Linked DNA regions of Caenorhabditis elegans. The protein of the gene in region 1 interacts with the protein of each later gene in a pairwise test. Each region holds a gene or a part of one and is shown on either strand. Other genes may lie near its edges.

Region 1 (4,072 bases):
TTGGAGTTTGATTTGCTGACATTTGCTTCTTCACACGCTCACATTCGTCCAAGAGACGTAGCCATGGACGAGGAGATGTTGCGGCATCAATTCCTGCAATAACTTCAATTATCAATTTACTTTCATTGGGCCTTACCGTATTTTGTCTTGAACTCTTTTCTGAAGTGCTCTCGAATAAGAGCATCGAACCAAATACCACCAGACTCCAAATCGTATGATGTGTTAACCATCTGAAGTTTTCCACGATTGAAAGCAACCAATGAAGCCTGTGTTGACGAATGACCGATATCAAGGAACACGACGTTGCGCGATTTGGCATCTTCCTCTGGGAGATCTTGCTTGTAGATTCCGTAGGCTAGAGCAATTGCAGTTGTTTCATTGACGATGCGAAGAGAGTTCAATCCGGCATATTGAATAGCTGAGAGAACAGCGCGTCGTTGAACATCAGTGAAGTAGGACGGGACCTAAAATTAAAACGATTGTCTAACAATTTCTCAAGTCTAAATTGTTCGATAAAATTATAGTTAAAATAAATTGATATTATTCAGAAATATTAAACAAACACTTACAGCAAGAACGCAATCTGAAACTTTCTTCACGTCAGAAAGTTGAGATTCCACAATAGTACGAAGCTTCGTGAGAAGGGCAGCAAGAACTTGTTCTGGGGTGAAAGTGTGAGGTTCGCCAAGATAACTGACTTGAACTCCGATGTCATCATTTGGAAGTTTAACCACTTTACACGGGATGAATGGAATGAATCTTTGCGCAACAGGATCACTGAATTTTCGTCCAATCAAATGCTTGAAGTTAATAACAGTGTTCTTGATGTTCGTGGTCACTGCTTGCCGAGCTGCAACCCCCATTGATCGATCTTTTGGTCCAAAAGATACGCAAGCTCTGGAGAAATAAATATTTAGATTTCATGTTATGAAATACTACACTTACGGAGTGGCATGCAGAGAATAGTCATTGGTGATAACTTCAATGCCTCCTTGACGTGCAACGCCAATGTAGCAGTTGAGGTTACCGATGTCGAATCCAAGAACCGACATTATTCTTTATAGCAGGAGCGCTGAAATTAAAGATAAAAGTTTAGACAGTTTAGACCAGCTAAAAACGGACAAAATGGGTTGAAGAAGCTTTGAAAGTATATTTATACAAAAACCAAATATTTTTCTAGAAATTTCGAGCAAATAAAAAAAAAGTGAGCAAGAAAACAAAGGTGAAACAGCGAAAAACGACCGAAAAGGGCGTGTCTCAGGCTGACTCCCTTATAATGGTGTTTAAAGGCACACCGAATATTCGAGAAACGTCTAGTACATCGTTGCGAGACCCATGTAAAATTCTCTACAGAGCAGACTTGCATTATTTTTTATTTTTCAAAATCATCATTTTTCAAACATCGTTTTTCATTTTATTAACGTTCTGTTGTGTTTGTTTTTATTTATTTATTTTATTTTACGTGAAAAAAAGCTCAAATTCTAGTGACACTCGTTTTATTTTCAAATTTTAAAGGGAAATGGCTCCGAAAACTGGAGAAACCGTCGTTGAAAAAATGGAGGTAGATGAAGCTAAGCAAGATGTCCCAGCCACCGAGCCAGCAAAAGATCTCAACGCAATTGCAGTTGAAAGTAAGTGAAATACAGAAATACTAAAGTTTTGATTGCCTTCTTTTCTAGATATCAAAGAACAATTAGCTGCTCTCGACAAAGGAGAAGAACATTTGATCACTCGCGTGTTGCAAGTATTGCCGAAAACTCGCAAGCAGATCAATGACAACGTTCTTTACAAACTCGTGTCTTCACATTTAAGCAGTGATGCTCAGTTCGCCGAAGGAATGTTGAAGTATTTGCATTACACACCCGCCGCTGATACTGAAGTTCAGCCAATGGATACTTCGAATGTCAAAACAAAGTCTCCAAAAAAAGGCGTCAAACCAGTGTTTGCATCTCCCGAATCAGATTGCTACTTGCGTCTTCTCGTTTTGCTTCATCTTTATGCTCAAAAAAAGAATACCGAAGCTCTTGCTCTCGGCGAGAATCAACTCACATCAAGTAAAAAACATATTTTAACCCAAACAAAACGTATAATTTTCAGTTTACAACTTTGATCGGCGTACACTGGATGGACTCGCAGCAAAAACCCTTTATTTCCTCTGTGTGATCTACGAACGAGAAGGACGTCTTTTCGATCACCAGGGATTCTTGAACTCTCGACTCCGTACTGCAACTCTCCGTAATTTCTCCGAGTCACAAGCCGTTCTGATTTGCTGGCTTCTTCGCTGCTACTTGATCAACCGTCAATATCAATCAGCTGCTCATCTTGTCTCCAAAGTTGCATTCCCAGACAATGCATCTAACAATGATCTTGCCCGCTACATGTACTATCAAGGACGTATAAAGGCTCTTCAACTCGATTACAATTCGGCGGCTGGATATTTCTTGCAAGCTCAGCGAAAAGCTCCACAAGAAGGTGCCATTGGCTTCAAACAAGCTGTTCAGAAGTGGGTTGTTGTCATTGGTCTTCTACAAGGAGAGATTCCTGATCGAAGTGTGTTCCGTCAACCAATTTATCGCAAATGTCTTGCTCACTACCTGGATCTCAGTCGAGGCGTTCGCGATGGAGATGTTGCTCGTTTTAATCATAATTTGGAGCAATTCAAAACACAGTTTGAAGCTGATGATACTCTCACATTGATTGTTCGTCTGCGTCAAAACGTCATCAAGACTGCAATCAAGCAAATTTCTTTGGCGTATTCCCGAATTTATATCAAGGATATTGCCAAGAAGTTGTATATTACTAACGAGACAGAGACTGAATACATTGTAAGTAATTTATATTGACAGTTTTATGTTTATTATAATTGTTGCAGGTGGCGAAGGCTATTGCCGATGGAGCAATCGATGCTGTTATCACTTCTGATGTTCGTGATGGACCTCGGTACATGCAAAGTTCAGAAACAGCTGATATTTATCGTACTTCGGAGCCACAAGCTCACTTCGATACTCGTATCCGTTACTGCCTCGAATTGCACAATCAAGCTGTCAAAGCTCTCAGATATCCACCAAAGAAGAAGATCGCTGTTGAAACTATTGAGCAAGCTCGTGAACGCGAGCAGCAAGAGTTGGAATTCGCCAAAGAGCTGGCTGACGAAGATGATGACGATTTTTAAACCGATCACTCACTTTTTTAATTTATTCTGAACAATGCATTGGAACGTGTCTGTCTCCGTAAATAATTTTGTGTGTATTTTATTTGAATTTTCTCGTCTCTTTTCAAATCGAGATCCCTGTCCACTTTTTTCCCACACCCGAATGAATTTTATAAGGATGAATTGCATATTTCACCAAGTCTTTTTAAAATATATTTTGTTTAAAATTGGTATTTTTCACCGATTTTATTTCTGAATTAAGTAGTGTTAAAAGAGAAAGATCGTCTAAAAAATAATCTTCAATTCTATCGTGATAGAAATCCATGAGTTTTCGAATAAATACTGTATTGCAACATCTAAATATACGATTCTATTAAATTTTACAAAAATAATGTAATTTGTCTAAACACTTGCTTTACGATGTCCGCAAACACTACCTGCACACGAACTGCGTCAGAAATTACGAGCACGATTTTCTTAATTCTTTTAGTTCAGAAACTTTCTTGAAATCATTTTAGTTATATTTATGTTTATTCAATATATTTTGTATTACCAAAAGTAAAAAAAGGAAACACTGAAAATCCCATTAATATTTAAACTCTATTTTTCTCTGAAACTAACTGGAATTCAATTTTGGAATTTATTAGTTTTAGTCAATTGCTCTCTGATATTTAATTTTTTTTTCATTTAAAAAACATAATTTATTTAACTACGAGATCGATTATAGCGCTGCTTTTCTTCCTCTTTGAAGTTTAAAATTATTTTCAGAATGAATGAGGCTCGAGCAAGGATCATAATAAACCTGCGGCTGTCGATGGACTCGCTGATGCGAGTTTTCAGTCACCGATCACCACCTCCTTCATTTGGATTTGCTTGCGATGTCGGTGCACATCCATCATCAACTGCACAAAACTTGCCAAT
Region 2 (3,836 bases), on another chromosome or scaffold:
CCCGCCAACAAAAAAAACATTACGGTCACCTCCTCCCGCGGCACTGATGGACTCTTCGGTTGTAAAGTAGGCAGCAGACGGACTGTACGTCGGCTCTTCTAAACAATTTCTGCACAGCTGGATATATAAACAATTACGAAAAAGAAACTAGAAGAAGATAGAAGATTCAAAAATAATCTGAAGAAAACTAACAAAAGGGATCCGTGGCAAAGTAATGTGTGGAACTGGACACAAGCTTCCACGTTTGTCCATGCTGTTGGCAGAGGTCACGTAGAAATTCGAAATTGCCCTAGTTCTGGAATTTTAACGTTTTAATTTTTTAAAATTGGAATTTCCAACAAAAATATGGCTTGGAAACACCGGTCCACCAGGGGTGTGCGGCAAATTGGCAAAATCTGGCAAATTTGGCAAATTTGCCGCACACCTCTGCTGCACACTATAATTAACTATAATTTTTACTGAAATTTTGGCCTAGACTGACTCTTCATTTTTCCATCCAATTTCAGATTAGGAATTTTCAAAACTTTGAAAAACTTGGCTCATCAACTTCCTTGTCATTTTTTGCTTATACATATCTTCCTTACTCTATCGATCAAGTTAGTTGTTTTTCCTAGACATACGTAATGTCCATATACCACTCTTTTTATTGCGCAACACGTAACAGAAGGCTAGCGGGAGGCGGTACCTCTTCCAATTTTATGGTCAGTGCAGATCGTTTTTCGCTCTGCTCTTTTGGGTCATATTTAGTATTCAAATATGACGTAAATTTCTGTTTGGCAATCCATTTTTTTCTAATTTTTTGTGTTTGCATACATTTCAATACCGTTTTACTACGCTTCTTGTCAGAAATTTTTATGGAAGTTTTGTTTGCTTTTAGATATTCCTGGTTGCAGTTTTTTCAAAAAAAAATTTCAATTTGCTCAAGAATTTGAAAAAGAGAATTTCTGACGAAAAAATCAGAAAAATTGAAATTTGTTAAGTAAGTGTTTTGTCGTTATACTACTATAAACAATTAAAAAATTATTACCTGAAAATGTAAGACATTTGTGTAAATCTGGTGATTTTTTTGTCAACTTTAACAGCTCATATTGCTAAATTGTTAACTAAAAACTGAAACAAAGTACTCAATTTTAGTCTAATTATACTTTCAGTACACCCATTTCTTAGAACCCCCAAATTTCCAAATTCAAAGTTTTTGGTACATTTATTATACCAAAAGGATTTATTCATCTCAAAACTTCAAAGAAAACCGAAAAACAACAAAAAAATTAAGCTACTGTCGGCAAAGAGACCCCACTTGACATTTTTTTTCTGAATTTTCCGTTTTGTATATAAAGTCCTGCCTTTTTGTAGGTGCCGACGGTAGGCGGTCTTCTCTTGAAGCGAAAAAGTGTTTTTTTTTGGTTTTAGTTTTTGGCAAAAAATTTGCAATCTTCAAAAATCATCCCAGAATTTGAACCGTAATAAATGCACCGTCACAGTGCAAAAGTCAAGTTGTAAACCCATGTTCTCATTTTTTACAATTATGACCACTGTACATCTGACTGCGCGTTTCTTCTGACTCTCTCATTTTCAAAAAAAGTATTTTTGCCGCCAAATTTTACTCAACACATCCATTTTTAACCTTCAACATTTTTCCATTTTTTCTCATCAATTTTCATTTTTCAACATGTCAATTCCCCATCTGTCTCTTCGTAAATCAGTCATGTGCAGACACCGAATCTGACGCCATGTTGCGGACTTTCGGCGTCACATGGTAAATCGTCTTTGGCGGTTTTTTCGAAATTGATTAATTGCAAAGATAAGGAATTTTAATTGAGATTTATAAAGCTTAGGCTTCTGAATTGCTACTCCCTCAATTTTTGTTTGATTTTACTTTTTTCTTCTTGGATTTCTTCTCTCCGTACATACCTTTTCACATAAATTTCCAAATTTTCAGATCTCTACCATGAACCCACTCGAAAGAAAAGTCAAGCAGGAGGCCGAGGAAGATGGCTACTCATCGTTCGACGAGTTCCCCGCCGGAGCCATCCGCATCCCGTACGAAGAGCTGATGGCAAAAGTTCGAGCCAAGAAAGCAGAAGCAGAAGCTGCTCAAGATCTTGTGAATGAGAATTCTTTTGACCAGTTTGTGGCTGCTCCACCAGCTCCACCAGTCCAGAAGCCTGCTGTTGAGCCAAGCCCATCATGCTCCCCAGAAACTGTTGCCGTTCAGAAATTTGTAACAGAATTCATGCAGGCTGCTGGAGGATCGAGGGAGCTGAGAATCATAAAAGATTCCCAGGAGACAAAGATTGTCTGGGTAAGTTCATATTTTTAAATTAAATGCTATTGAAACTGGTTTTTTTTTTCAGAAAACTTCTCCTGCAAAGCCTAAGGCTCCCCCGGTTGAGGATGATCCGACTGACCCGACTGACAGCCAGGTATCAACTGTTTCGGTTAGTATTTTTTCAAACCTTTTAAGAGCTTAAATGAGATGTACTCTTTTTCAAATTAAAATTCTGAAATTTCCAGAGCATCATCCCAGTCTCCTCGCCACGCGGAAAACGGAGAATTGTGGTCTCCTCGGATAAGGATAGCGACGGAGACGAGACCCCAACCGAGGACAATGTGAATAATGATGATCAGGACGTGACTCCGAAGAAGAATAGAAAGCCTCCAGTTGAAGTGGTTACTCCATCGCCAGCCAAAAGATTGAGAGGACTTAACTTGGTAAGTGAAATTTCAAAAAATTCGGAAGCAAAGTTTAAAAAAAATTTATTAACCATTCGCAAAAGTGCCAGAAAATGTATCGATAAAATATTTTTGACTGAAAATTTTCGGTAAAAATAATTACAAATTTTCCAAATGCCCCAAATTGTTTTCATAATTGCCAAAAAATCACTGAAGAATTTCCAGAAAAAATTTCAAATTGGTTTTTTTTAGTTAAAAGTTCAACTAATTTATTTGTGATGAGCTTTTCAAAAGGTCTTTTTCAAATTACACAAGTTCAAAAATAGTCCTTACAACATCTTCTTTAAGTAACATGTTTCAGAGATCGGCCCACAGCTCATCAGACTCGGAAAGCGACTTCCAAGACACCCAGTGTGAAGACTCTCAAGACTCGGACTACTTCCCGGATACCCAGGAGCAGCGAGACCGCCCCGCGGACTTCAGGATTCCAAAGAATGCGGCCTACGATCCTCTAGACTTAAGCTATAATTGAAAATCATCAGCCTCATACCCGAATCTATTCCACTGCATAATATGTAGTCATAATGAAACATTGAATTCTGTAAAATTCAATCTTGAAGTTACAAATCAAATGTCAACAGTCAAAGATTTTCAGCGGCTGTACAAAAATTTCAATAAAATTTACAAAAGTTGTTGCCCAGAAAACTAGAGTTTCTTCAGTTTAAATATCAGTGTATTGCGAAATATCCGAATATTTAATCGATTTTTTCATATTGCGAAATACCTCCTTTCAATAAATCAATAAAACTCTAAGGTATTGCAAAATACCTACCGACTCCGCCCATCCAAAGATAAGACTTTTCTCTCAGCAGAACACTTTTCTCACACGTTCCAGAACATCTCTCTTATCACCTTCCATTTTGTTACTATGTGCCTGTCCGCTGTGACTCATCAATATGAACTGATCAAAGTGGGAACTTTTGAAATTGAAATGGACGATGACGTCATAGAATTTCTGGAATTTTCCGAAGATGAAGAATGGAGCCCAGAAGTCTACGAGAAGGCGTTTGCAGACGTGGAGCGATGGATGGAGGAAGGAAGATAATTCTGATAGATTCTATAAACTTTTTCGAATAAATTTTTCATTTTTATTACACAACTTT

Evidence for each region.
Region 2: the proteins of rpn-3 (region 1) and F19B10.1 interact in a two-hybrid assay, tested with the Caenorhabditis elegans proteins (2 studies listed by BioGRID).

Annotation. Positions count from the first base shown.
Region 1 is NC_003281.10:8,445,838-8,449,909, forward strand, and holds rpn-3 (26S proteasome non-ATPase regulatory subunit 3), read left to right. Parts: upstream 1-1,515; 5' UTR 1,516-1,519; coding exon 1,520-1,631; intron 1,632-1,679; coding exon 1,680-2,054; intron 2,055-2,097; coding exon 2,098-2,825; intron 2,826-2,872; coding exon 2,873-3,172; 3' UTR 3,173-3,509; downstream 3,510-4,072. Other genes in the region: hsp-110 (Heat shock protein 110), read right to left, coding at 1-93, 137-464, 570-897, 946-1,052; mrpl-32 (Large ribosomal subunit protein bL32m), read left to right, coding at 3,921-4,072. UniProt on the Caenorhabditis elegans protein: Acts as a regulatory subunit of the 26 proteasome which is involved in the ATP-dependent degradation of ubiquitinated proteins.
Region 2 is NC_003280.10:3,681,242-3,685,077, forward strand, and holds F19B10.1 (FAM192A_Fyv6_N domain-containing protein), read left to right. Parts: upstream 1-1,942; 5' UTR 1,943-1,948; coding exon 1,949-2,302; intron 2,303-2,354; coding exon 2,355-2,438; intron 2,439-2,514; coding exon 2,515-2,712; intron 2,713-3,034; coding exon 3,035-3,205; 3' UTR 3,206-3,276; downstream 3,277-3,836.